Linked DNA regions of Canis lupus familiaris. The protein of the gene in region 4 purifies or fractionates together with the protein of the main gene of each other region. This does not show direct contact. Links are inferred from orthologs where the notes say so. Each region holds a gene or a part of one and is shown on either strand. Other genes may lie near its edges. The genes, in order: GIT1, GIT2, NCK2, PAK2 and ARHGEF6.

Region 1 (6,106 bases), on a different chromosome or scaffold from region 4:
CCTGAGAGGGTGGGGAAGGGAGTCAGGCCTGGCCCGAACGGAGACCGTGTCCCGACGCCGCGGGCTGGACTGGGGTGCACCCCCACCCACAGGCGTTTTGCATTTCGCTGAGGAGGGAAGGGGCCACAGGCCTTGCTCTGGAAGGAAGGTGCGGCCTTGAGGATTGAGTTTGGATCCCGGTGGAACGTGAGGAGGGATCCAGATTCCAAGGAGAGTGACTGATGGAGGGGGCTCCTGAGAAAGGTGCGGGATATTAGTACCAAAGGTCGCCAGAGCAACTAGGGATCTATCTATCTGGCACGGTGAAGTATTATGTAGGAGTCTTCCCTGCCCTATTAGAAAATTAAATTCCCCCCCCCAAAAAAAATTAAATTCCATCTTCCACACTTGACATTACAAAGGGAATGACCACGAATGCTGGAAGGACAGTCCCCTCCCGCTATGTGCTGTCCTCTGCAAGGACCAGAGTGGGGCTGGGCGGAGAAAGCAGCAGGTGGCAGCTTAACCACCTCCACCCGGTTGTGGTCCCCTCGGGAGAGGAAGTGACTGATTGCAGAGAAGACCTTCTTCCTGATAACCCCAGGGCAGAGAGATCCTTCCAGAAGCGTCCCTGAAGACGCTGTAGTAAAAGTGTAATTGACCTCGGGGGCTGCCTATTGCGGGGACTGGAAGCACCTAGAGGCGTGGCCCGGTCCCTCCAAACCAGAGTTCGAATTCCTCCTTACTAACCGCCTAGCCGTAGGCAAATTGCTTACATTTTCTGTCTTCTCAGACCACTCACCTCGAAATCGGACTCCAAATACTACCTACTGGGGTGAGCTAAGGATAGTAACTGCCCTGAGAAACAGCGCATCCCGCCCGCAACCGGGTGGACCGAGACAGGTGGCAGGACCGGGCACTGTGCCTTCCTGAGTCCACCTTAGAACAGGACAGGAATTAGGGATTCCATACCAGCCCTACTTAGAACAATCCAAGAAATGTTTGTGTGGGAGGTGCTAGCAAAAGCTTGCAAACTCTCCGCGCCTCTCTCAGGTTTCTTTGTGTGGTCTTCTCTCCTTCCTCCTCCACACCCTGCGGTGCCAGGCCCAGGCGGGAAAGGATAAAGGAGGAATGGACTGCCTCGCCCCTTTCTCCAGCCTGGGAGGAGCCAGCTGGCGGCGTCTCGGGCAACCGGGAACCGCTGCCCACCTCCACCACGAGGGGTCAGCAGAGTGTTGTGGCTGCAGCCGGAGTTGGGGAAGGGGCTGGGGCGGGGGAGGGACGGCTAGGAGTGGCCAGAAGAATGCCTGTACGTTTGTTTCCTCATTAAATTGTTTATAGAACCTTGTCTCATATTTCTTTTTCTACTGTCTTGCTTCCTGAGGTGGAGACGTCTCCAGAGGGAGATCCTGGAACCCTTTTATCCCTAGTCTCGGGCCCAGAAGCTCCGCAGTGGCGGGGCTGGGGTCTTCCGGAACAAAGTTTAGAGTGTGGCTTCTTGCCTGGGCCACTCCCAGGTAGTCCCCGGGCCAGCCCGGAGGTAGAGCTGGCGGGCGGGAGGGGGCGACGGGGTGAATCATTCTTCCCCTGAAAAGTGTTGGGAGTTCTGGGAGACGGGGAGCTCGGCCAGGATTGGGGGACCTATGCCCTTAGCAGCCGGGTCTCTTTGCCAGGCGGCCCTAGACCAAACCCAGGTCGCCTTTCCTCGGGTCTGCGCCCTCCAGCTGCCACGTGCTCGAGACGCGCCCACACAGCAGAGAAACAAAGACAGCCAAGCGATGGAGCTGCCAGTAGCCGCCTCGACATTTAATAAATGAAATTCCATAGCTGTGGGTCGATCGGGGGTGAATGGGCGGCCACCGCTCCTGGGGGTGGGGGTGGGGGGCGCCGGGAAGAGCGGCCAGGCCGCTCCATTACGTCGTCCAGCCTGGGGCTACCAAGCCCACAGACTGGCTTCTCGGTGTGGGTGCGGCACCGTGCGGCAGGTGGTGCTCCCCCACCGCGAGGTACCTTCGCTTGCAGAAGCCCCGCCAGCTGAGCGGCTGGCTGTGGGGGGAGGAGAGGCCTGCAAAAAGATTTTTCTTAAAGGTGCGATTATAAATATACCCCGTGGATCGCGATTTCAAACAAACTTGTCAATCTGGGCTGCAGCAAAAGGCGATAGAGGCAGCTTTGCTTGTATTTCGGGTGGTGTGACTCATGAGCATTACTTGTCTCCCCCAGGGAAGCAGCCTGCCCACCCACAAGCCACTGCTGTTCTGGCACCGCTGGGATAAAATCGACCAACTCCCAAACCCCTGCCCAAGGACTCCCCTTCTCCCCCTTGTTACTGAGAAGGGCTCCCTGCCCCTTGGGAATCTTCCCTTAATTCCGGTCACCACTGACCTGGCCCCCAGGCCTGGTCCTGGCCACCCGGGCCCTGGCCCCAGAAGCAAAGCGCTCTGGCATTTTGCTGCTGCAGGGATGGGGGCTGGGTGCACGCGGGGCACACGTGTATGGGGGAGCATGCTCAGTGCAGGGGTGCACCCACGTGCCGCCTGCGCCTCCGCTTCCTGTCCCCCCCCCCCCCCATTGCCGTCTCCGTGTGAAGTCTAGGAAGAAAGGCCACCATAAGAAAAGGTCCCTGTATGTTATATGCACACGCCCTGGACACACAAACCTGCAGTGGCCCAGAAACACCGTGGAGGTATACAAGACGAATGCAGAGTGGATATTACTGCCCACAGGCACAGTGGTCACCCCTCGGGAGGCCTTTAAAAACTGCCCAGATTCTTTCCTCTCGGGACGGCAGCATGGATGAGGTATAGATGTATTTTTAGCTGGGAGGCAGGGGTACACCTGGGCGTCCATATTGTTGGCTTTGTGCGTAAGCAGCAAGGGTGTGACCACACACACCTGGACACACAGATGTGGATATATGGGGGGCCAGGTCGCACACCTCGCCTCAGCCACACAGAGGCGGGCACCCCAAACCACAGCGCTCTGACGAGGAAGGGGGCCTGGGCCTCTAGCTCCTTCCTCTCTTCCCGGGTCCCCCAAGGGTCACCGTCCCCGGGCCTGAGCCCCTCGGGCTACCCTCCACCTGGAAAGCGAAGAGGAGAGGGCTGCGCGGGGAACTCACACAGCCGCGGGGCCGGAGAGCGAGGGAGGCGAGGCCCGGCGCGCAGGCGACGCTGCCCTCTAGGGCCTGCAGCGCGGCGGCCGCGGCCCCTTTAAGCACCCCCGCCCCCTCCCGCCCGCGCTCCCGGCTTCCTTTCTCCGGGAGGCGCGGCCCGCAGGGCCCGGCGGCGGGGCGGGTTGCGGGCTGCCCCTCCCCCGGTGGGCAGGGCCTGCGCCGCTTCCTGCAGGAGCGGCCCGGAGCCGCGCAGGGGGCGGAGAGAGCGAGCGGCGGCAGGGCGGCGCGGGGCGGCGCGGGGCGGAGGGCGCCGGAGGGCGAGCGGGCAGGCGGGCACGGCGGGTTCCGGGCCAGCCCCGGGGGCGGACGGTTGGCCGGGCGCGCGGAGCCTAGCCGGGGCCTTGCCGGAGCCGGGCCGGGCAGCAGAGGCAGCCGCCGCCCGGGCCCGCCGCCCGCGCCCCCCACGCTGGCCCAGAGGGCTGCGGCCGCGTCGCCGCTGAGGATGTCCCGGAAGGGGCCGCGGGCGGAGGTGTGTGCGGACTGCAGCGCCCCGGGTGAGCAAGGCCGGGCCGGGGGCGGGACCGCGACCGCGACTGCGACCGCGACCGCGCTGCGAGGCCGCCGGGCGGGCGCCGGGCCTGGCGAGAGCGCCGTGCGGGGCCGGAGGGCGGGGCGCGGGGCTGGGGGCTGCGGCCTCGGCCCCCGCCCGGGCCACTGCGGAGCCGCGTCCTTGGCGGGAGGGCCGGCTGGGGGGCCCCGGTGCCCTCGCGTCCGCGGACGGGCGGGGAAGGACATTGCCGGCGCCACCCCGGAGTCTGAGGGAGGCAGGCGGCTGGCTGCCCCCCGCCCCCATCTCTACCTCCCGACGGAAGCGCCAGCCTGGGGTGGCAGGAGGGCTGTGGCGGAGGCCCGCAAGGTTCAGGAGGTGGGGGCGAGTGGGGTTTCGTGTCAGCTCGGTGCCACCCCCGCGTCTTGCACCTGCTGCTCGCATGGTCTGGGCGCCCGCTGAGGTGGCGGAGGTCAAGGGGCAGAAAGCTGGGCAGATGGGCCAGGGGAGGCTGGGGTAGTGTTTCTTTGGGAGCAGATGGGGGCGGGGGGGGGGTGGAGAGGCGGTAGCTACTCCGAGGACTGCCTGCCCCTGGTTCCCAAGGCCGGGGCTACTTGCAGGGCCTGGTGTTGAGGGCCAGTACAGCCTGGGCATCTTTCTCTCAGGCATCCCCAGGCTGCCTGGTGCCTGGGAGCCACTAGACTCAGCTATTCTTATGCCCCAGTAAGGTCTGCTTAACCCCGTCAGGTGGGCTTAGCATTGTCCCAGCTTGGGCACAGACCCCTCCTAGCCCTGTGTAGCCCAGTCTGGCCAGAAGTGGGGAAGGAGCAGTAGTACCCAGGATATCGCTGGCTTCCTGGCCAGCCTCCTGGCTGTATTTACCCTGGTGTTTTCCTTCTCCCCGGCACAGTCAGGTCCAGGCTGATGTGAAACCCCCCTGACCAGCTGAGGAAGTGAGGAGTGGTGACCTGAGTGGCTGCTACCTTCTGATGTGGGAGGACCGTGCCAGTGATGGGGCTCAGCAGTTGGCCTGGGGAAGGAAGCCGTGGCTTTTGTCCATCCTCTCCTTAAAATAAAGAAGCTAACTCCCTAGGAGACCTCTGGGCAGGCTCAGGGTGTCTCTGAATTCCAGGGGGACTGTGGGCATAATTAAACATGAGAGTGTGAGGTGCTGTTCCATGCACCCATAACTTTGAGCCACCCTTAGGACAGGCCTAAGACCCCAACAGGTTGAGAACCACAGATACTCCAGTGGTTCCGATGGCTCCAAGCTCAAGTGTTTGGTGACTGTGGATGCCTGGCAGAGGCATGGTACTCCGTGGGTGGTTGCGACCCTGGGACTTCTCTCAGGGCGTGTCATGATCTAGAGGGCCTTCAAGAAGCTATCTGGGCTTACATATCCTTATCCTAATGAGCTGGAAACGGTGATCTTCTTCTAGCCGCATGCAGGTCTGAGGATGGAAGGGCCAAGAGGAGGAGAGCTTGCCTTCTGTGGGTGTCCCAGACTGTTGTGTAAACCTCTGCAAGGCGGGCATAGCATAGGGGTGAGGGTGGAAGGTCCAGAAGGACTGGGGGGAGGGTGCTTCTGTCAGCTTACTCTGTGACCCATGGCAGGGCTCTTCCTCAGTTTTCTCAATTGTGAAGCAAAGAAATTGGGAGTAGAAATGGTTTTTGAAGACCATCCCATCTTCAAGTCTGTGGTTCTCATTCTCAGCCAAAGGGACATAGGACAGAATCAGCAAGGTAGTTCTCCTTTCTCCACTGGATTTGACAGTCTGAAACCTATGGATGCCTAATGGGTTTGGGGAGGAGTGATGTGTATCTGATGTCTTGGATTGCTCGTGCCCCAGGTACCTCCTTTTCCCCTGACCCAGAATACATGTCAGGAATAGGCAGGGGGTAAGGATGGTGAGATAGGCAGGGTGCTGGCAAAGTCTTACACATCACCCTACCCCAGCACCTGGCATGGTGTCTAGCACATGTCGAGCCTCCCTGAGTGTTTAGATGCTTATCAGGACCCCAGCTGGCTACTTGGGGCTCCCCCATTCCCCACCATAGGACCCAATCTCTGTGGGACCCAAGGAGTGGCATTCTCAGTGTGGGAACTATAGCAGCCCAGGTACAACAAGGCTTGAGGGTGATCAACAGTTGGGATATAGGCACATGCCTCCTACCCAGTCATAGGCTTCTCTCACTATGAATGGGGTTCCAGCCCTAGAAGTGGGGCTGTGGCCTTTTTGTGGTTGGTTAATTTGAGGAGACCATAGAGGTGAAAGGTGAGATACAGGCTGACTGCAAAGGTCCTCGTCCTCCCTCTGCTTCCAGGCATGGGCATACAAGTGACAAGTGTATTTTGTAAGGCGGCTGGACATAGCATGGCTGCTATAGCATCTGCGCAATGTCATCAGGCACCATATGTGTACCTGTCTGCTGTGGGTGTCCAAGAGAGGGCAGGAGTCAAGGAA
Region 2 (5,345 bases), on a different chromosome or scaffold from region 4:
ATCTGTGGCAGCTGCACAATGTGTCTCTTAAACTTGCCTGTATAAGCCAAGGGGACTAAAACAAGTGGGTTTGGGTCTCTGATGTGACAGTGTCTCCACTAATGCAGAAACACAGATGGGGTTGGGTCAGGAGTCATGCTTTGAAATGAAATTGGGAAATATGGTTTATTAATAACTTTTACTCAGAAGTTTCTAACAACTCATTCTCATGTGAAAGTGGGTATTTACTGCTCTCAGGTCTTTGTTTACAGATTTCATTATAGGGCCTGAAGAAAGTCCGGAGATGAGTAGTTTAAAATGCCAGGCTTGACCCTAAAAGAACAATTCTGAAAGTATGGCACATGAACCACCAGTGGTACTCAAAAGACAGATGTAGGTAATACATATTTATTTTAATGGTTGCATTATTTTACTGTGTATTGGAAAACTTTAACTAGCACATCAAGCCATAATTGCTAGTAAAAGTTTTTTTGTTTTTTGTTTTTTTAATGAGTAGATTTAAAGAAAAATATTAGATGGAAAGTCTAGACAGTACATGGGTTAAGAATCTTGAAAATAGTATTTGGATAATCAGGCTTACCCCAAAGTGTCAGAGTGCTCTTCCTTCATAATCTGTAAGAATAATCTAATCAAACTCTTTTAGGTACTTAGCCATCTTCCTGGTCAGACCTGAATCCTGCATATAGGTTCATCTTTCTCATTCTAGAATCAGAAAGCAATGATTTGTAAGACATCCTCGCCGTGCAGTGGGTCTTGGTTTTCCCAGTTCAGTCACTGTAATTTCCAGTGAATATTTGTGGAAAGAAATTAAAATATGATTTTATACTGCTTGGTTTTTAGATGGTTGAAACTTTGTATAATAATGGTGCTAATTCTATATGGGAACATTCTTTGCTGGACCCTGCCTCTATTATGAGCGGAAGACGTAAAGCTAATCCACAGGATAAAGTACAGTGAGTGGAATGTTTATAAATACTTTTATTTCTTCATAACACTTGGGGCCCACTAAAAGGAGTGCAGCTACTTTGGACCAGCCCCCACAAGGGCAGCACAGGAGGTGGTTACACCCCAATTGTGCGTTGAGCTCTCTGCTCTTAGGAATGCAGAACAAGGCCAGGCACAGGACCATCTCTTTTGCATGGTTGTACAGCACAAGTCAGTGGCTTCTCCAGTTTGACACTAATGCTCAGAGACTGTTAATGTAATCTGATTTAAGCTTAGGTGCTCAAACAAGAGGCAATCAGACCAAAAATCTCCATTCTGGGCTCTGGTCTGCCTGATGCCTCACCTATAGGATGGGATACAATGCTGCTTCCTCACAAGGCTGTAGGTCAGTTAAGAAAATTACAAAGAGAGAAGCTCTAAAAAGCAAGTATTCTGCAGTCCTGGCCTTTAGAATGACTAATTGATGTTTTGAGACTTCAGGTCTTAAACTCCTGCTGGAACTTATTTCAGTGTCATTCATTTTCTTCTCTAGTAGGGGATATGGGTCACTTCCTTTTCTTTTTACGGCCTAAAGAATGGGAAATGTTGCATCTGAACTGCAAGTAAGCAGCTTTCTTTCTTTCTTTTTTTTCTGGGTGGTAATCAGTCCTAATAAAGCAGAATTCATCAGAGCCAAATATCAGATGTTAGCATTTGTCCATCGCTTGCCTTGCCGGGATGATGACAGTATGACTGCCAAAGATCTTAGCAAGGTGGGTCACACTTTTTAAAATCCCTAAAACTGCTGGATCAAATGATATATTGTTTTGTTTGAAAAAAACTTAAAGAGGAAGAAAAGAAAAACAAAACAGAAACTTTCTGTACTCTAAATAATTAATAACAACCTTTTTTGCAGTTGGTTACATCTTTAATTTTAGTTCAAATGGCAGCCATTCTATGTTAGTGGAGGTACAAGGAGGTACAAGGAAAAATAAGTATGTATCTAGAAAATTATTTATGTTTTTCAGAAATGGTTTTGAAATTATATTTCTTGAGGCACCTGGGTGGCTCAGTTGGTTGAGCACCTACCTTCAATTCAGGATATGGCCCCCAGGATCCTCTGATTGAACCCCGCAGGGAACCTGCTTCTCCCTCTCCCGACTGCTCATGTTCTCTCTTTCACTATCTCTCTGTCTCTCAAATAAATAAATAAAATCTTTATCTCAAATAATTAAAATCTTTTTTAAAAAAGAGAGGGAAGGTGAGCACGAGCAGGTGGAGGGGCAGAGAGAGAGGGAGAGGGAGAAGCAGACTCCCCACTGAATTGATCCCAGGACCCTGGGATCATGACCTGAGCCGAAGACAGACGCTTAACCAACTGAGCCACCCAGACACCCCTAAAATTGTATCCCTAAAAGTTTTTCATTTAACTTTAAAATAGGAACCATCCCTTGAGTTTGTTTCTAGAAGGGACTAGAAAGTTCGAGGGACCTCTTTAGGTTTCTGGGTTGCATACTGAGTAGGATCTTCAGGAAGCAGGATGACTGAAAGCTGTAGTGCTTATGATTCTTTATTATACTTGTAAAATGAGTAGATGGTTTTCTTTATGTGGGCCTTTGCATGATTTTGAGAGATGCCATGAGAAACATGCATTTTTATTTTCAAAGCACTGCTTTTAGGAAATGTTCGCACAGAGCTTGGACACTTGCAATCAGAATTTTAAACTTTGCAAAAAAAAAAAAAGGAATTTTAAACTTTGCATAGAAAACATATATAACTGTTACTTCCGTTAATAAGCTTGGCATGGGGTTTTTACCACAACTTAAGAATATTAAATACATTAATTGTAAAAATAAGGTGTGGATATAGATGCTGGAGTAGACTTCTGCATTTTTATAATAAGGGTTATTGCATTTTAGACAATTCTAGGTTAGACTTGAAAAAAGCAGCTAATCTTCTGCATGTTTAAGAGCTTTTCTGCAGTGGTACAGAATTTGGTATACACCAGGCCTATTTCCCAGCCTGAAAGATTTTGTTAAAGTATTATATACAAGGCCAAGAATGTTGTTATGAAGAGGGTGTGCTATAAAGCAGAATCCAGTAGTTTACAGCATGGGGTACGCAGCCCTAAAGCCCTAGGTTAAATAACAACAACAAATAATAATGATTATAATAACAGCAGTTGTATTCTTTGAGTGTTTCCTGTATACCAGGCTCCATGCTGAGCATTTTGTTATATCATTGACTCCTTACAGTAATCCTTGAATAAGTGGCATTGTTTTCACCATTTTAGAGCTGAGAAAACTAAGGTTCAGATTGTTTAAAGAACTTCCACAAGGTCACACAACTTGAAGGGTATATGGTTTTAACTTCAGGTCTTTGAGACTTCAGAGCTGTGTTCACCTATCTTCTCATACCCCCTTTCACTTCAGGTCTGATTGTACCACTTAGATTGTGCATTTGGGCAAATCAGCCTTCCCATCCTTATTTCCTTATCAGTAAAATGGACCTGGCCCCACCTTAGAGCTCTGGAGTGGTTGTGACCAGCAAGGGAGAGGCTTACTGAGCTAAATAACTGATTATCACTAATATAATGTATATTAAAATGATCTGCCAGCTGCTATAGTATACCATTCTTTACACTTTTAACAAATACTTTTTTGATTTGTGTGTTTTTCAGCAACTTCATTCAAGCGTGAGAACAGGGAATCTTGAAACCTGTTTGAGGCTGTTATCTTTAGGAGCACAAGCCAACTTCTTTCACCCTGTGAGAAAAGCATGAATTGATTCAGATACTAAATTGAAACTAAGTGGGTTGTGTTTGTTGTAGCCTTTAGTTTTATTTAATTTGCTTGTTAATCTACTTTTTATTAATATTTCTCAGGAAAAAGGAAACACCCCACTCCACGTTGCCTCCAAAGCAGGGCAGATTTTACAGGCAGAATTATTGGCAGTATATGGAGCAGACCCAGGCACACAGGATTCTAGTGGAAAAACTCCTGTGGATTATGCAAGGTGAGAGACCTAGATTTCTTGTCACTGCATCTTTGGTTAGGGATTATTTATGTTGGGTATTATTCATTGTTGGTGGCTAAATTGTGTATGATTAACATTTAACCCCTTTAAGTTAAGGATATACATCTCCCATTATTTTACAGATGAAAGCATTTCAAATACATAAGAGCTCAGAGCCTGGCAGAGTTGGAGGAGATAGAACCATTAGCTTAGCTAATGTGCTTAGCTTCCAGTGTGCTTAGCTTCCAGTCTTTCAAATGACTTCTAATGCAATGGTATTTGAGCCATAGTCCAAAGCAAGTATCAAGAATTGCAAAACCCACTCCTCAGTTTCTTAATATGTTTAGTCATTGCTTGAACTTAAAAAACAGAGCTATATAGATAGGTAGGCGATTAAACAAGTAATAGTAAAATGTTAATTATAGGTTTTAGGTAGCAGATGTCTGGGTGCTTGCAATAAAATTCCTTAAGTTTCTTCTTGTTTTAAAAACTTTGTGAAATGCTGGAAAAATAAAAAAATCCATGTTAGCCTTGAATATCATTTAAATGGTAGAAGATGGCTCATCTTTCTTTTTCCAAATTAATTTTTTATCAACTGCAAAGCATTCTACTGTTCTGCAGAGGATAAAATGGGTGAAATGCCAAAATTGTGCCTTCCCAGAATTTATTATCTCATGGAGGAGATGATTCATAAATACATGAAAGAGTTAAAGGAGGCAAGATAATGTGGAATTCATTGCCAAAATGGATAACTGGTCTTAAAAGGCATATGTAGGGTTTCTTCGTTTTGACCTAAGTTAGTAAGAAACTTCTTTAGTTGGTCTTTAAAAAATGGGTTGGATTTGGGTGTGTGAAGGAGAAGCTAAGACATTCCAAGTGAAAGAGAAGGATTGAGTTTACGTTCAGGAGGGAGGGATGGACAGGGCATTTTCAGCACAGCAGAGGAGTTTACTGGATGGAGCAGAGTGTGTCTAGGAATAATAAGAACTTGGGTATTGAGGAATATAGTATTTCCTAGATCTGAGACTCCACTGACTATATGGGTCGTCATTATGTCACCTACCACTTAAGAACAACTTAGCTGATTAAATGATGATGTACCATCAATTGTAGTATACTTCCTGATTTCACAGCTATTTAAAAAGAATGAGGGAAAGAGATCCGTATCTCAGAAATCAAACGTGTGGTAGGTCAGAGGAATATTTTGTAGTGTCTTGAAAGGTGGGAAAAGAAAGTGGCAGAAACGAGACTTCAGCTTTTAAGAGGAAGAGAACCCTCAGTACATGATACTTAAATGTCACTTACTTTGGAGTTTCCTCATGTGTATCTTGCATATAAAATAGTCTCTCTGTGTAATAATTTATTTATATGCCTGGTTGCTAAAAGGATTTCAAGCAGCTTAAGTA
Region 3 (5,345 bases), on a different chromosome or scaffold from region 4:
AAAATAAGATTAAAAAAGCAATCATGGTACAAATCATGATGTGTTAGCCATGGAAAGCCTGCTACGTATCAGCCTCTTCATGGAACTGTGTTTCTTGACTCTTCTGGATTAAATAGGCCTTTATTGGTGTGCCAAGTCTTTGCCACTTTACTGGCTGTCTATGTTAAGTCAGTTCCCTGATCTCAGCCTCAGTTTCCCCATCTGCAGAAATAGGGAGGTGCTCACTTTGTCACAGGACTGTTGTGTTCAGATCACATGAATGTCAGTACAGTCAAGTTCCTTCCTCTTCCCAGACACCTGTCTCTTGAATTTCACTGCATCAGCAGCTACATGTGACATTGCTCCCTTGGAATAATGTTTCTCAGGTGCCAAAAGCTTGACAGGCAAGCTTTCTATTTTGGTGGCCATCTGGCACTGGTAACATTGTTGCCAAGACTGTTGAAAGGACTTTGGCCCTCTCCTGGTAAAATACCTGTCTGAGAAAAAAGAAATTCAAAGGCCTGACTTCGACAGAGTAGTAATAGTTATTCATAGAGTGCTTCCTGTTTTATATTACAATCTGAATTATGTCCCCTAGAATGCGTATGTCGAAGTCTTAACCCCCAGAAAGTCAGTGTGTGACTGGACGTGGTAAAGGTCCCTTTAAAGAGGTAATTGAGTTACAATGAGGTCTTTAGGGTGGGTCTTAATCCAATGTGACTGATGTCCTATAAGAAGAGGAAATTAGGACACAGACCTACAATGAAAGGAAGCCCGTGTGAAGACACAGCAAGAAGGTAGCCATGTGCCAGCTAGTGAGGGAGGCCTCAGGAGGGACCAGCCCTGCCCACACCTTGATCTTTTTTTACTTCCAGCCCCCAGGACTATGAGAATATAAATTTCTGTTGTTGAAGCCCTGAAGTTTATGGTACTTTGTCCTGGCAGCCCTAGCACACTGATACAGTGCCACAGTTGTCCACATTTTATGGGTAAGAGAGCTAAGACGCAAATTGAGTAACTTGCCCAAGAGCATATAGCTAATGAGTGGCCTCCTTGGGATTCAGTTGTTCTGCTGTATTCCATGACCCCCTCCCTTTACAGAGTTGCCTCAAAGACTATTTGGATCCCATTCAAGCAAAACAGGTGAATTTTCTGTGGTGTGGTTGCTATGTGGAATGTTCCAGTCTTGACAGAGAAATTTAAGTTCCATACAGGCAAGGAGTGTGCCTATCTTGTTTTTCTTGGTCTCCCCCAAAGTCTAGAAAAGTGCCTGGTGTAAAAACTCAGTGGCTAATGTAATTTTGTTCTTGAAGAGTCAGCAAAGTGGCCTATTCGTAAGTCAGTTGTGAAATGTCTTCAACAAAGTTTTATGAGGTCTAAGGTCTACTGTCTATTCTGCTGATCTTGACATCTTTCTGTGCCCATGAGTAGTCTAAATCCTGCCCTTCTGTAGGTATTTTCTCAAGTACCTTTCGTTACTCACAAACTTGAAAAGGTCTATTAGAAGGTTATTTGTAGGAGTACCTAAGGGGCTCAGTGGGTTAAGCGTCTGACTCTTGGTTTTGGCTCAGGTCATGATCTCAGGGTTATGAGATGGAGCCCCCACACTGGGTTCCATGCTAAGCAGGGAGTCAGCTTTAAAGATTATCTCCCTCTGCCCCTCCTCTCGCACGTGCCTTCTGTCTCCTAAAATAAATAAATCTTTTTAAAAAGTTATTTGTGTTATTTCTTGAAGTCTTGTTACAAGTAGAAATTGTCCTCTGCCTGTTGCGTTAGCATGCCGACTCCTTGATGAGGCTTAGAATACCCTGGTGCCTGAGCCTTCAGGACAGAAGTGTATTTTCATGTACGGTCTGCCTTCTGGATTCTGAAGCTAGTGAATCACCTGGATTCTGAAGCTAGTGAGCTAGCTCTCTCACGCATAGCTAAACTAACGTAGGCTTGAAATCGCATGAAAGGATTCGTTCAAAGATTTAGAGGTTTGTGTTTTCATGTAAAGTGAGTTAACTTGTAAGAAGTCTAAAATTTTAACTTGGTTTAGTATCCTGGTTTACTTTCCTATTTCCTATATGCTTGAATAAAATGTGTATAAAAAAAAACACACACACAGAAGCCATTCATTTGAAGAATTGGTATGTTCACTTGAAGACCTTGTGAACAGTCACTTCACACCCGTGTGCTGTCCCCTCATGTCTGCTATCCAAGTGCCTTTTAGTGTGCGGAGCCACACTGGTGGTGCTGAGCTGGGCATGTATCCAAGGGGAGCAGAGTCTTAGGCCAGGGATGGGTCTGCTCTAGAAGGCAGTGCACAGCACTCCACAGTAGAGGATGATCACAAGGCAATGTTTTGTTCCCCTTGAACTCCTGGCCCCCTCAACAAAGGAGTAGAAGCAAAGGTAATTCTTGGGATCATTCTGTCTTTACTCCATTTGAAGAAATAAAATGAGAGAGAGGTATTTTAGTTGAAGAAATAAAATAAGCTACCATAAAAGTGCTTTGGTGTCATTTTGCAAGGGTGGGGAATCTGCAAATGGCGTCTCCGTACCATCAAAGCCTGCACACTGACCAAGTTAGGAGCTTGTGTGGAGCTGGTGGGCAGGCAGCCATCTCAGGAAAAGCTGGGGAGCATGGCCCGCCCTACTGGTCTAGTGGCACACCACAGCTCTGAGCGCTGATGTGCCTTCTCCGTAGGCTCCCCTCTCAAGAAGGCTCCAGAATCCTCTGCATTCCACCCAGGCTGCAACATTTTTACCTTAGGGCTTTTCACGCTGGTTTCCCCACACACAGGAAGAGATAAGTTTCACACTGCAGCTCAGCACTGGCTCCCTTACATAACTGAAGCAACACACTATGCTTGATGCACTTGGGAGGTTTTTCTATCTTACTAACTTAAATAAAACCAGAACAACACACACACACACACACACACACACACACACACAAAGATGGTCACAACCCAGTAAATTGATTTTATGATCCACTAATGGGTTTTGAGGCACAATACAAGAAATTCTGCCTTAGACCTAACAGATCAGCTGATTGCTTCCAATTGGCTCATTGCAACGTGTGGGAAGTGAGCGCTCAGGCCCCCCCCTCCCCCGTTTTGGAAGGACAGAAGCAGCGCAGGAAGAGAATAAAGGAGGGGAGGGTGTTGGTTTGTAGCCAGCGGAGGGTCGCGGGTGTCCCCCGAGTGGCCCAGGCACGCAGCTCTGACCTGTGCCCCGGGCTGGCCTTGGACAGGTCTGAGTCCAGCAGGCCGTCCGCCCGCCCCTGCAAGCAGGCGGAAGACCTCCGGGCTGAGCCCTCCCGTGCCCTCCTCTCCGAGGGCGCGGCAGCCCTCGGGAGTACCACCCTGGGGGGCGCCGGTGCCCTGGCAGTGGGGGGGGGGGGGGCGGGGGCGGGGCGGCGGCCCTGAGCGCTCAGCCCCGCTGTGTCTCCGCAGGCCTCGGCAAGACCAAGAGGAAGACGAGCGCGCGCGACGCGTCCCCGACGCCCAGCACGGACGCCGAGTTCCCGGCCAACGGGGGCGGCGCCGACCGCATCTACGACCTCAACATCCCCGCCTTCGTCAAGTTCGCCTACGTGGCCGAGAGGGAGGACGAGCTGTCCCTGGTGAAGGGGTCGCGCGTCACCGTCATGGAGAAGTGCAGCGACGGCTGGTGGCGAGGCAGCTACAACGGGCAGATCGGCTGGTTTCCCTCCAACTACGTCCTGGAGGAGATGGACGAAGCGGCCGCCGAGTCCCCCAGGTTCCTGAGCCTGCGGAAGGGCGCGTCCCTGAGCAACGGCCAGGGCGCCCGGGTGCTGCACGTGGTGCAGACGCTCTACCCGTTCAGCTCGGTCACCGAGGAGGAGCTCAACTTCGAGAAGGGTGAGACCATGGAGGTGATCGAGAAGCCCGAGAACGACCCCGAGTGGTGGAAGTGCAAAAACGCCCGGGGGCAGGTCGGCCTGGTCCCCAAAAACTACGTGGTGGTCCTGAGCGACGGGCCGGCCCTGCACCCCGCCCACGCGCCGCAGATCAGCTACGCGGGCCCCGCGTGCAGCGGACGCTTCGCGGGCCGCGAGTGGTACTACGGCAACGTGACCCGGCACCAGGCCGAGTGCGCGCTCAACGAGCGGGGCGTGGAGGGCGACTTCCTCATTCGGGACAGCGAGTCTTCGGTGAGTGCCTGCCGGAGGCGCCGGGGGCCGGGCCCTGCCGGGCTGCGTGGGTGCGTGTGTGCGAGTGGGGGGGGGGGGGAGGGGTGCAAGGGCAGGCGCGCTGCTCTTCTCCGATCCCTCTCCACGCGCACGGCGAGTAGCCGGAGGATGCTTGCAGCTCCTGTTCACATAGAGCCCCACGTATTTGCGGCTCCAGGTCAGCTAGGGGAATCCCACGGCCCGCAAGCCTGCTTGGGGTTGCTGCAACGGACCGTGATGGACTGCAGTCCCCCGTGGGTGTAGAAACCCACCCGGGGACCTATCTGGCAGGGGGGACGGCAGGTAGAATGGCCCTGCAGCTGCCGAAGGCGGTCGTGCCGCTCTCCTGAGATTCTCCCCTCGATGTTCTTCTGCACACTCCGACATCAGTTTCTCTCCAGGTTTCCCATTCTGTGAGTGACCCCACTTCCCGCAACCCAGGCCCTGCTGGTTGACTTTGTTTCCTCTCTAGGTCCCAGGCATGTCTCCTGGTCACAGCGGGAGGGGCACCTGGTTTCTGACACAGCCTTTTGTTGGTCGGTTTGTTTTTCTTTTGAAACCAGACGATCCTAAGGGCACGGCGACCGCAGGCGGCATCAGGGAGTTCATCTCCAAGAAGCTTTTAAAGCACTTAGGAACGGAATCGAAAAGAAAAAGACAGGGCTTGAAAGAGATGAGTTTGTGTGTGTGTGAACTGCATCAGAGGTATGAGGCCGCCTGACTTGCAGCAGATCCTTTTCCAGGGATAGGCGGATTGGGGGTTTGAATTTTTGGGTATGCTGAGCCTGTCTGGAAGAACTGAGCCGGTTGTCACGCACGGTAACCTTTTCATGAGTACGTTATGGATTTTGTTGATCTCTTTGCAGATATGCCTTCCATATAATAAGATCCCCACCCCACCCCCCCCCCCACCCCCCCAAAAAAAAACATGACTTCTGCAGATAGAATCCATGGTGGTTACGTTGTATTGGTTCTGGCAGGTTTCAGTTTAATTTTTTAAATGCATACTGTAAGACTGGTAAATATGTGATCTGTACCATAATTGGTATCCTCTGGGAAGGTTGATACCACAATAAGTGCATATTCAAGACTCTTGCAGACTGATCTGAGAGCAATTCCAGGCCACAAGAAATGTTTTTGCTCTTCTGAGAGAAAGGCAGCTGTGATCTGTTCTTCTTAGACAC
Region 4 (6,071 bases):
ATCAACCTATTTTATATTCTATAGCTGATAATTCCATTATCTAAAGTTCACAAACTTCATTAATTTGGTTGTGATTTGTATTGATTCATTCATGGTGACTTATTTCCTCAGGTATACTATAATTACATTTTGAGTGCTTATATTTAGATTTTGAAATCCTGTTTACTTTTGGAAATCCTTTTAGTCCTGGGTTGAGTGAACCTGTGCAGGGAGGATTTGTATTTGTTTCCTCCAGGCCACCAAGTACTACCAGCCTAAGACCACGTTCTTGACTTGAGGTTTCCTGGACAGTGTAGGTACTATAAATTTGAACTTTAAAACCCATGTGGGTGAAAGCTTGTGGTTATGAATTCTAAAGGGACATTGTTTCCCTCTCCATGCCAAGTCTAGACTAAAACAGACTAATGTTTGGGCTAGTACAGGGGATTTTTTCTTTATCCCCCATCTAGGAGGGTATAGCCCTATGGGTTTCCCAGCCTTGAATAGGCCCAAGGCCTTGTCTTCCGTGCAGCCAGTAAAATCACAGAAATTTCTAAGATAGGTACATACCCTCAGCACAACCATAGCTTCAGTATCCTGCTTACCACTCAGGTTTCATGCTGCCTCTTTGGGTTGAGTGAAATTTGGAAGACTATCAGAGGTCGGTCTTTCTTTTCTTTTCTTTTTTCCTTTCCTTTCCTTTTCCTTCCTTCCTTCCTTCCTTCCTTCCTTCCTTCCTTCCTTCCTTCCTTCCTTCCTTCCTTCCTTCCTTCCTCTTCGTTCTCTTCTTTCTCTCTTTCTTTCTTGAGAGCTTATAGTTATGACTTTTGAAAGGATGTTCTATTTTATCCAGTATTTCAGTGTGTTTAGTAATGGGACTGCTTTTCAGGTTATCTAATTAATAATGTGCCATATTAGTCTTTGATTCCTTTCTCTCTGCATCAATTGGGTTTTTATTCTACATCTATAGATAAGCACAATCTAGCTACCTTTCTCCATGTCCACTATCTCCTTAGTATCAGTCATGACTACTGCCTTTCTAGTTCATTTCCCTTCTATTCTTGCATCTGTATACTACATTTTCCACCAAGCAATCTATTGATCTTAAAGTATAAGTCAGATAACTTCACTTTCCTGCTTGAAACGCTGTAATAGTCCAAACTCGTTAGCATGGCATTCAAGATCCTCCTTGACCTGAATCTTGTCTACTCTAGTGTTTTTTCACAGTACACTACTCTTGCACCGAGCTCAAGCTTCACAGTTCGTCTTAACTGATCATAGCAAGCAAGCCCTTTTCTTCTTCCTTCTGTCTGTAATGCTATCTCCTAGGAGTGTCTCCTGTCTCTCTCCTGTTCTCAGCTTAAATGTTGCCTCCCTAAAGATTATTTCTCTGGCCGCCCAATCCAAAATAATCTCCCTAGTTATCTTCTCATACCAGATATCATTAGTTTAATTATTGTGCTTGCATATTTCTAAGCTCTACAAAGGCAAAGTGACTCATGTTCACCCTGTATCCTTGATGCCTTAATATCATACGTTTTAGATGCTCAAGTGTTTGTAGAATTAGTGAATACATTAATGAACTCCTCCTTCGATAAAACATGAAGGCCGGGCAGCCCGGGTGGCTCAGCTGGTTTGGCGCTGCTTTCGGCCCAGGGCGTGGTCCTGGAGTCCCGGGATCGAGTCCCACGTCGTGCTCCCTGCATGGAGCCTGCTTCTCCCTCTGCTTGTGTCTCTGCCTCTCTTTGTGTCTGTCATGAATAAATAAATTCTTAAAAAAAAAAAATGAAGGCCTTAATTTTCAAGGAGGTGGGATTTTAGCAGCAAAACATAGTAAGAGCTTGTAAATAAAATGCAAAATGGATAAGGGATGAATTTCCAGAAATAAGAGTCCTGAAACAGATTCACATAGCAGTGTGTGGGTCAGCGTCTTTGGCGCAGACTAGAATGGAGACAACGCTAAATTAAACGAGGGGCATGATTCTCTTTTTCAATTCAAAGAACACCGCCCCCCCCCGCCACGCCCTCCGCCGCCAAGAAGAAAAAAAGAGCGCGAGGGAAAGCGAGGCGAGCGGGCTGCGCGTCCGAACTACAACTCCCGGCAGCCCCCGCGCGAGCCCCCGGCCGCGGGGGGCGGGTCTCCGCCCCTGGAGCTCAGGGCCCGGCCGGCGAGGGGCGGTGTCCTGGCCCCGCCCCCGCCCCGCCGGCGCCCTCCCCCAGGCCTGGCCACGCGCGGCGGCGGCGGCTGTTCCGCTTCCCCTCCGGCCCGGCCCGTCGCCATTGCCGAAGGCTCTCTGCCTCCCCGCCCGGCGCCCGGGGGCTCGGCTGCCGCCCGGCCTACGCTCGCCGCGGCCGCGCTCCTGCGCCGCCTGGCCTCCCCGCCCGCCCCGCGCCGGCGCTTGCCCGGGGCGGCTCCGGAGCCCGCCGGGAGTTGGGACGCGGCGCCTCGCTGGGGCGGGGACCTCTCGGCGCCCGGGTAAGTGCAGGGCGGCCGGGGCGCGCTCCCCGTCCTCCGCGGCCTGCCGGCGGCCGCCACCTGCGCGCCCGGAGCCGCGGGCCTGGGGCGGCGGCTCATTGTCCGCTCCCGAGGGCGGTTTCGCTCGGCGGCAGCCGGCGGGGGAAGCTCGCTGGGCAGGCGCGGCCCGGCTCCTCTGGCGCCGGCCCTGCCCGCTCGCGGGCGCCCTCCCGCCGCCGCGCACCTCCGCGTCCCCCTCAGGCCTCGGCGAGTGCGCGTCGGTGCGGACGCCTCGGTGTCGGAGCGCGTGCGGGCCTCGCCGGCCTCCCGAGCCCCCGGATCCTCAGCGGCTCCCGGTGATCTGGGTCAAGGTTGGCCCTTCCCCGCGCGTGGCTGCCTCCAAAACACCACCGCACGCCCGCGACGTGGCCGCGGGGCCGTCGGCGGGCGCGACCTTTTGACCGCGTCCCTCAGCTGCAGTCGCCCCCGCGGCGGGCGGGCGGGCGGGCGGCGCGGGGCTGCGCCCTCCTCGCGCCTTGGCCTCAGCCCGCCGCTCCCCGCCGCCCGCCGCGCCGTCGCTTTCCGCCTCGGCGGGTCCTGCCCGCTCCCGTCGGTGTGGCTGCTCGGGTTCCCCTCCGCGCGTTACCTGCACTCGTTTTCTTTTTAGCCTCTTTGGCGAAAACGCATCGGAACGGTTAGGCCTAAAATTAGACCACGGCGAGCGGTGTTTTGGACCGAGGTTGTGCGCGTCACGTTTCTTCCCCTGCTCTGTCGGGCTCTTCCGCCCTTAGAAGGAGGCAGGATGTGGAGGTGTGCGAGGATCTGCTCGGGGGTTTTGTTTTCGTGGGGTCACCCGGGAGAATTACGTTCAATGAAATTAGATTGGGGTGAAGACAGTGAGTAGTCTTTTTTTTTTTTTTTTTTTTTTAAGATTTTACTTATTTATTCATGAGAGACCCACAGAGAGGGGCAGAGACCAACGCTGAGGGAGAAGGGAGCCCGACGTGAGACCCGATCCCAGGACCCCGGGGTCACGCCCTGGGCTGAAGGCGGCGCTAAACCGCCGAGCCACCCCGGGCTGCCCTGAGTAGTGATTCTTAAAGCAGGTTAGAACTTGTCGACTTTGCCAGAAGCTCTGTGGCCTTTCTAAAACACACACTTAACTTTTTCTTTCTTTCTTTCTTTCTTTTTAATTAAAGATTTTTATTTATTCATGACAGAGAGAGAGGCAGAAGGAGAAGCAGCCTCCACGCAAAGAGCCCCATATGGGACTCGATCCCAGGACCCCGGGATCACGCCCCGAGCCAAAGGCTGGTGACACTCAACCGCTGAGCCACCCAGGCGTCCCGTAACTTCTAAATGACTTTTATGTATATGCGGAAAATCTATATAGGCGTAGACCTATGAATTTGAAAGCTTTGTTCGTGTTCTGTTAATATGGGGTCTTGATTTAAGGCAGCTCTTTCATCCTTGGCTTTTAGGCCTTTCTAGCTATCGCTTAGCCAAGAATACTGACTTCCCGTATGAAAAATGAATGTTAAAATGTTTTTGAGCTGTGATATATGTAGACCCTAAGCCCACTGCAGGGTTTGGTAAAGAGGTTGATCTACATTCAGGGAATTTTGTTTTCACTGGATCCTCCCAACTTTCCCTAAGTGACTGAGTACTGAGCTGTATGTAATACTGTTAGCATTTGACGGTGTCATTTCTCCTTAACTTGAGAGGTGTTGTGTGCCACAGGGGCTAAGGTATGGAAATGTTGGGAGTGTGAAATTCGGTCTGTTGATGTCAGTTTCTCTGCCGGTTCTTCAACAAGGGGGTACTTTTACCAAGGAAGAGTTACTGGATATTCCTCTTCACATAGGGATTTGATTCGTGGTTTACCATTATTCAAAAAGAGTTATTCTTTTGGACTTTGTGACACTTAATAGTAACCTTGCAAACCCCAAATCATAAAGGAACAATAAGTTTGTACTGGGGGTGTATCTGCTAAACAAATGAATAGGGGGGTTCCTGTGGTTCTCTGATCTTTATGATAGGCAGTTTTCCAAATAGGCATGGTTAACAGTGGTGTGTATTTCTTCTTAATTATATATACTTAAAAAAAAAAAAAAAGAGTAGAACTGGCTCAGGTAGCTAAGGATAAACTTTCGATTATACTTTTTAATAAAGAGAACTTGTTCAAATAAAGTAAGTAGGCACTTTAAAATCCTCCCTATGTTTCTTCTGTCAATATCGATTATTCTGCTATTCGAGTATAATGTTTCTTTGACTTATTGAAATTTCTCCTTTTCATTTAAGCTTGAAACTAAGCCCTGTTCAGTGCTTTAAGGCTTCAGGATTCTGATCAGTTTGTTTTCAAAGGCCCTTCCAGTTAGTTAGAGGGCTAATTCCAGACTAGTCAGAAGGTGGGTAAGTTACTTACGAATCTGAGTTGTCACTTGTATCCTTGTACCTGGGTAGAAACCGAAAGAGAAGGAAAAATAGCCCCCCTTGCCCTGAAGAAAATACTGATTGTTTCCTTCTGTGATCAGAATTTTCACTAGTTCTTCATTTTAGGATCACTAACCTACTTAAGGATAGTCCTTCTGAACATTCATGTAGGATTTCAGAGTTCTAGCCTATTATTATCTCCGAGGTACAATAGTACTTACCATTCCATGTGTCTCAAATGGTTAGGTGCTGGGGACCTGGGTTTGAATCATTACTCTCTACTTTACCCTGGGTAAGACATGTACTCTTTTCAAGACTTGGTTTTCTTCTGTTAAAGGGGGATTGATGATGATAATAATAATAATAATAATAATAATAATAATACAAATTTCATGGGGCTATTTAAAAGCAAATGAGATAATGCAGGTAAATTTTTTTTGCAAATGCAGTGCTTAGTTACTATTCCATTCTAAAGTAGGTTTTATACTTAATTGCTCCTTTTTTTTCACCCCCCAAGCTTGCTTTATTTATTCATGAGAGACACATAGAGGGGCAGAGACACAGGCAGAGGGAGAAGCAGGCTTCCTGTGAGGAGCCGGATGTGGGACTTGATCCCAGGACCCCATGATCACCAAGAGAGCTGAAGGTAGACACTCAACCACTAAACCACCCAGGTGCCCCTTCATTGCTTCTGTAGCAAATATTGTGCCCCCAAACTTAGATTTAAGAATGCTTTCTGGAATGAGCACTGGATGTTATATGTTGGCAAATTGAGCTTCAATAAAAATGTATATAAGAAAAAAACAATGCTTTCTGGAGAGGTTGGAATCTCAGGACCAATTTTCTGAGACCATAACTGTTAAATTAAAAATTATTTTTCAGGGGGAAAAAAGTTTTGCCCCTGATATAAAACACAAGTTTTTCAAATTTTAAAAAATATGCAGGGACACCTGGGCGGCTCAGTGATTGAGCGTCTGCCTTTGGGTCAGGTTGTGATCCCAGGATCCTGGGATCAAGTCCCGCAGCGGGCTCCTGCAGGGAGCCTGCTTCTCCCTCTGTCTGTGTCCCTGCCTCTCTCTCTGTGTCTCATGAATAAATAAATAAAATCTTAAAAAAAAAAAAGTATGCATATCTCTCATAGAAAAATTGGAAAGTAGCGAAGATTATTAAGAAACAGGATGAAAATCACTTTTGCCTCAGCTCT
Region 5 (5,998 bases), on a different chromosome or scaffold from region 4:
TGTATGTCTCATGAATAAATAAATAAAATCCTTAAAAAATATGCATCTGTATGGTTATTAAAGCATTATTTGCAATAGCTAAGATATGGAAGCCACCCAAGCATCCATTCAGAGATGAACAGACACAAATATGGTATACATGCACTCAATCATATAAAAAAAATGAATGAAATCTTGCCATTTGGGACAACATGGATGGGGTATTATGCTAAGTGAAGTAAGTCAGACAAAGAAAGGCCATTACCATACCATTTCACTCATGTGTGGAATCTAAAAAACAAAACAAAATGAAATAGAAACAGACTCATAGAAACAGAACACACTGGTGGTTGCCAGAAAGAAGGGGACTGAGAGGATGGATGAAATAGATGAAGGCGACTAATAGGCACAAACCTCCAATGTTACAATAAGTAAGTCATGGGGATGACAAATAAAACAGAGGGAATACAGTCAATAATATTGTAGGGTCGCCTGGGTGGCTCAGTTGGTTAGGTGGCCGACCCTTGATTTTGGCTCAGGTCATGATCTCCAAGTCCTGGCATCAAGCCTCGTGTCCAACCCCACCCACACAAAGCCCCGCAGTGGGCTCCACATTTGGAGGAGAGTCTGCTTCAGGATTCTCTCTCTCCCCTGCCCCTCCCCCACGCATTCTATAAATAAATAAATAAATAAATAAATAAATAAATAAATAAATAAATCTTTAAAGAATAATATTGAAGTAACATTGTATGGTGACAAATGGTAGCTACACTTACTATGGTGGGCACTGTGTAATGTATAGAATGTTGAATCACACATTGTACATCTAAAACTAATATAATATTAGTTAATATTAATATCAACTAATATTAATATCAATATAACTATACTTCCATTTTAAAAACCTACAATCTTTTTTAAATGAATGTATAAGACTTCAGCATCATTTGAATGTACTATAATTTATTTGACTATTCTCCCATTGCTAGTTATGGATGTTGTTTCCATGATTTTGCTTCTGCAAATAAAGATGTAATACACACACACACACACACACACACACACACACACACTGAGGAACAAAGAAGTTACATAATTGGACACTCAGACAAAAGTATCACCTCCTTTGCAGCAATACCCCCAAATATACTGTAAGGATCTATATGATATAAAATAGTGCAATGTAAGTTAATATACAATTTCTACCACAGGGCCAGGCTCTCTTGGCTTTTCATGGCCTCTGTTCTAAAGTGTTAATAGGAAAAAAGTGACAGTATACTTTCATCTCTTCCCAACTCGGAGGGGGGGGATTACTATGACCCCCTAGAGCGGCCAATGGCCTGCTTTTGGTTCCTCCCAGGAGGGAGGCACATTACACAGCCTTTGTCACTGGAAGCCTGCTTTCAGGGCACGGATGCTGTATTAAAAAATAGCATATTCTGAGTTTTGATTTTGTTTTGTTTCATTTTGTTTTGGAACTGGTTTCTGGAAAAGACAAACTAACCAGCCACCACTGGAGACCACCAATCTTAACCATGATCTCCATAAAATGCTACCCCTGTGTAACAGTCAGAAACAACCCAGTACTTTTAGTACAACACCATTTTCACTAGCAAGGCAAGGCATCCCGGGTGGGCTTACCTCCACTTGAAGGGCTGCACATCCTTTCAGGAAGTCACTGATGTTGTTGAGGCAGTCAGCTTCGGTTTGGGGCTCCAAACAGTACTAGAAAAACATAGCCAAATGTCACTTGAACCCTGTTATCGCATGCCAAGCATACACCATAGTCCTCATTTTCTGATAACTAGATAGGTAAGCTTTTTAAGGCAGGGGCCACATTGCTGTCAATCCAGGAAGAGAAATAACCACTGGAGGAAGTGATGTAAAAGTCTAAACGGTCGGTCTGTTTCAAATGTCACCAAACTTCCAGTCCCAAACCACCTATCTCTACTGACAAACTATTTTTTAGCCTTCAGCCAAAGTGCGGAGACAGCAAATTAGATCCAGGCTGTGTTTTGACCTTGGTTCTTGCTTTTAAGTTATTTTCTTGCTCCCTCCTCCCCATGATAATTTATTAACACTCTATCCTCCCATTTACTGTTTGTTACATTTGGTTACAGTTCTGCATGTTGCACTACCACTTCAGCACTGTTTTTCAAGTTTCAGAGAAATTATAAGTAAACCAATTTGCTCAATAAAAATACCAACCAGTACAAGAAGGCAAAAGCACTCACGTTATGCTCATAGTCACGTCCCCTGCTAACCTTAAGAAAGCTGTAGGATTCAACCTTTAAACTTAAAGTGCCTACTTTAGAAATTATCTATCCTTGTGAATATGGATTTCCAACATTAAAACTTTTGGCTTTTTAAAAGAGAGTAAGGTTAGTTTCACTTTGAACACATGTTGCATACAAAACATATATCTGGTTTCTATTGTTTTAACAAACCTTTTCTGACATTTTGGATTATTTCTTCTGGTTGCCTCTGTTTCAAAGGATATTTTATTTCTTTGAGAAGCAAATCAACATTGATTTTAGTCAAACTGTCAATAAACACCATCAATATCTATTATAAATCATCCCGTTATTACACCAATTCATATATACCCCAAGTTCAAAATATGCCCTTGGTACACAGAGAGTAATAACACATATCTCTATGACAGAGCAAATGATACGAGTATTTTCTCCTTGTCCCCTGGCACCAACATTGTATCATGATTTTACTATATTTGGGGGCCAAGTGCTAACGGATAACCTTTCATTTTCTGAGCTTTTCAAGCTACAAAAACAAGACAGAATGCCAAACTCCTAGGAAGAGATTCAAGTGGCAGAGTCCCATGATCCAGGCAACAGAACATCTCAAGGGTTACATTATTGCTGCTCTCTGGTGGTAAGCAATCCTAAAGAGAATGCCCATTTCCCTTACCTTTTCTAGAGAGCCAGGCCTAAGTCTGTTGATCAGTTTGCACAGCACTACCCCATTTTTCAGCGAGGACTTCAAGAACTCCTCTGGATCACAGATGGTCTTTTTGGGGGAATCTAAAACTCCCAAGGATATAAGCCATGTCACGATTCGCTCTTCTGGATTCATCGCTGAGGACTGTATGCTCTGCACAGCTCCCCAGGGCAGCTGCAAGGACTAAGCCACATCCGTAATTGCATCTGCTACTGCCTTCCGTTTTTATAAGTTCTCTTCTGGGGCTTGCAGAGCAAAGCGTTTCAACGACTTTCTTAGATAACGCGACCCCACTCCAATTACAGGATCTTAAAGCCACAGAGATCACACTTAAAAGATGTAGAAATAGAAAGAATAAAAATCTTTGGATAATGCTGGATTTTGTTTTCCAAGCCTGCAAAGCTAACTTACCAGGGTTAAAAAAAAAAGAAGAAGAAACACACATAAACACAGCCCCCCCCCCCAAAAAAAAAACCCAACAGTGCAAGAAGCTGTAAGGGAAGGAAGTGAGGAGGATGCTGGGGAGGGAGGAGAGAGAATGAAGCAAGTGCTCTTGGAAAACACAGGGGACTTTGGCAATGAGACACTCATGGGCCAGTCTGGGGAAACACTGTCAATAAATAGTCTAGCCCCAGTGAAAATCTGGCTGCTGTCAGGAGGAAGATGCCAACTGGCTCTTAGGTCACATAGATCTGAGGCTCATGAAGAAGGTAGGCTGAGAAAATTCTTCCAAGAAATGGCCGGATGTCCTCATACTGTCTCACAGAGATGGTGTGTCATGATCATCCCTTGTAAAACACGTTGAATTGCATGGTGATAACGTGCCAAGCAAATGAAGACGGTGCCTGCTGTCAGCCATCACTGTGTACAAGCAGAAGCTAGAAGAATGGCATTTTACTTTGCAGCCAAAAAGCTATGTTTAGGGAAATAGGCTAAGGATAACATCTGACATCCTGTTTACTTGCATTCTTTAGCAATTCTTTTTCTGGACCTGGTTCCACTACACAATCCAGCTGCAGTACCCCTAGCAAAGGCTCTGACACAGTCCTATGAGAGGGTATAAAACACTTGAAAACAGAACTTTTGAGAACAAAAGAGCACTTGTCCTCTGTCTATACTATAGTCTGGAAAGTTGATGCTTCCCCAACAAGAAACACTTTGCGTTAAAAATGGTGCTCTAGGGGCGCCTGGGTGGCTCAGTTGGTTAAGCATCTGCCTTCAGCTCGGGTCATGATCCCAGGGTCCTGGGATTGAGCCCCATGTCGGGCTCCCTGCTCAGTGGGGAGTCTGCTTCTCCGTCCCTCTCCCCACCCACCCCCCACTTGTACTCTCTCTTGCTGTCTCTCTCTCTTTCTCAAATAAATAAATAAAATCCTTTTTTAAAAATGCTGCTCTGAAAAAAAACAAACCTGGTCTAAAACAAGAGATCTTTTCACAACCAGTTGAAATAGTCATACTATTGGGAAACTTGTAAGAAGACCAATGAGAACAGCATAGCCTTAAACTGGCAAATGCATGCTCCTCCCCATCAGTCACTGCCCCTCCTCAAGTAGGGGATCCTGCTAAGCTTCCGAATCCTTCTCAACACAGCTCTAGACATCTACTACCAAATGATCAGCTTAGATAATCCTGCTAAATGTTTTCAAAGCTTCCTCTTCTTGCCATGTTCCTAACACTTATCACGTTACTATTTACTTGTTGATATGTCTCCTCCACCAGAATGTAACCTCCCTAGAGTAGACGTCTTGTTTGTTTTGTTTAACACTGTTCCCAGCAGGATCAGGTACATAGTAGATATTCTACAATGCTGAATGAGGGGTATCTGAGTAGCTCAATTGGTTGTCTGCCTTTGGCTCAGGTCATGATCCTGGGGTCCTGAGATAGAGCCTAGGGTCAGGCTCCCTGCTCAGTCAGGAGTCTGCTTCTCTTTCTCCCTCCATCCCTCCCCCTTCTCCCTCTCCCCTCTCCCTGCTCCTGCTCTCTCTCAAATAAATAAAATCTTTTTTAAAAAATGCTGAAGGAGGGATCCCTGGGTGGCTCAGCGGTTTAACGCCTGCCTTTGGCCCAGGGCGTGATCCTGGAGTCCCTGGATCGAGACCCACGTCGGGCTCCCTGCATGGAGCCTGCTTCTCCCTCTGCCTGTGTCTCTGCCCCTCTCTCTGTGTGTCTCTCATGAATAAATAAATAAAATCTTTAAAGATAAATAAAATTAAAAATGCTGGAGGAATGCATGAATGAACGAATAAACTCTTATGTCTTAAAACAAAAATTTTTCCTTGCTGATTTCTTTTACTGAAATATAATTGATGCATATTATTATGCACCTATTTAAGATGACCAATTTAATTAAATTTGACATATACACCTGCAATACAATCAAACACAATGCAAGTAAAACTTTCCATCACCCCCAAAGATGTCCCTTCTTCCCTACCTTCCCTTCCAATCTGCTTTCAGCCCCTGCAGATTAGTTCACATTTTCTAAAATCCTATATAAATGGAAGCATACAGTGTGGTACTTCCTTTTCTCTGTTTTTTTTTTTTCACTCAGCATCATCATTTTGAGATTCATTCATGTTGTTTTGTCTATCAATAGTTCTATAACAAGGATTTGACCTCCAACTGTTTGGTTTGATGTAATTATACTTAGAAGCAAAATAAATATACTCAATCAGGGCAGCCCTGGTGGTGCAGCGGTTTAGTGCTGCCTGCAGCCCAGGGCGTGATCCTGGAGACCCAGGATCGAGTCCCACGTCAGGCTCTCTGTATGGTGCCTGCTTCTCCCTCTGCCTCTGTGTGTGTGTGTGTGTGTGTGTGTGTGTGTGTGTGTGTGTGTTTATGAATAAGTAAATAAGATCTTAAAAAAAAAGTTTTCATTGACTTTTGACCCTGGCCAAAGCTGTGTCATAGGAAGAAATATAAAATCCACTTGTTGATAAATGAAAGTCCCAAGTCAGACCTATCTGAATACGTTTTTCTATGTCATTTTGACAATTTTCACAATTGCTCATCAAAACTGTACTTTACAGGGGCATCTGGGTGGCTCAGTCAGTTGAGCATC

Evidence for each region.
Region 1: the proteins of PAK2 (region 4) and GIT1 purify together in Homo sapiens (affinity purification with mass spectrometry; 5 studies listed by BioGRID and IntAct, with this or other methods). This does not show direct contact. The link is inferred for Canis lupus familiaris from reciprocal best matches to the Homo sapiens genes PAK2 and GIT1.
Region 2: the proteins of PAK2 (region 4) and GIT2 purify together in Homo sapiens (affinity purification with mass spectrometry; 3 studies listed by BioGRID and IntAct, with this or other methods). This does not show direct contact. The link is inferred for Canis lupus familiaris from reciprocal best matches to the Homo sapiens genes PAK2 and GIT2.
Region 3: the proteins of PAK2 (region 4) and NCK2 purify together in Homo sapiens (affinity purification with mass spectrometry; 3 studies listed by BioGRID and IntAct, counting the BioPlex papers as one, with this or other methods). This does not show direct contact. The link is inferred for Canis lupus familiaris from reciprocal best matches to the Homo sapiens genes PAK2 and NCK2.
Region 5: the proteins of PAK2 (region 4) and ARHGEF6 purify together in Homo sapiens (affinity purification with mass spectrometry; 3 studies listed by BioGRID and IntAct, counting the BioPlex papers as one, with this or other methods). This does not show direct contact. The link is inferred for Canis lupus familiaris from reciprocal best matches to the Homo sapiens genes PAK2 and ARHGEF6.

What each region holds. Positions count from the first base shown.
Region 1 is NC_049230.1:43,661,001-43,667,106, reverse strand, and holds the start of GIT1 (ARF GTPase-activating protein GIT1), read left to right. Parts: upstream 1-2,568; 5' UTR 2,569-2,613; coding exon 2,614-2,665; coding exon of another isoform or gene 2,666-2,829; exon of another isoform or gene 2,830-3,151; intron 3,152-3,518; exon of another isoform or gene 3,519-3,596; coding exon of another isoform or gene 3,597-3,648; intron 3,649-6,106. Other genes in the region: uncharacterized protein LOC119876655, read right to left, coding at 1,786-2,044, 2,639-2,829. UniProt on the Homo sapiens protein: GTPase-activating protein for ADP ribosylation factor family members, including ARF1.
Region 2 is NC_049247.1:17,527,749-17,533,093, forward strand, and holds part of GIT2 (ARF GTPase-activating protein GIT2), read left to right. Parts: intron 1-251; exon of another isoform or gene 252-376; intron 377-840; coding exon 841-953; intron 954-1,591; coding exon 1,592-1,697; intron 1,698-3,604; coding exon 3,605-3,691; intron 3,692-3,808; coding exon 3,809-3,939; intron 3,940-5,345. UniProt on the Homo sapiens protein: GTPase-activating protein for ADP ribosylation factor family members, including ARF1.
Region 3 is NC_049231.1:38,653,755-38,659,099, reverse strand, and holds part of NCK2 (cytoplasmic protein NCK2), read left to right. Parts: intron 1-3,421; coding exon 3,422-4,143; intron 4,144-5,345. UniProt on the Homo sapiens protein: Adapter protein which associates with tyrosine-phosphorylated growth factor receptors or their cellular substrates. Maintains low levels of EIF2S1 phosphorylation by promoting its dephosphorylation by PP1.
Region 4 is NC_049254.1:30,471,169-30,477,239, forward strand, and holds the start of PAK2 (serine/threonine-protein kinase PAK 2), read left to right. Parts: upstream 1-2,348; 5' UTR 2,349-2,455; intron 2,456-6,071. UniProt on the Homo sapiens protein: Serine/threonine protein kinase that plays a role in a variety of different signaling pathways including cytoskeleton regulation, cell motility, cell cycle progression, apoptosis or proliferation.
Region 5 is NC_049260.1:108,083,792-108,089,789, forward strand, and holds the start of ARHGEF6 (rho guanine nucleotide exchange factor 6), read right to left. Parts: upstream 3,355-5,998; 5' UTR 3,073-3,354; coding exon 2,908-3,072; intron 1,705-2,907; coding exon 1,621-1,704; intron 1-1,620. UniProt on the Homo sapiens protein: Acts as a RAC1 guanine nucleotide exchange factor (GEF).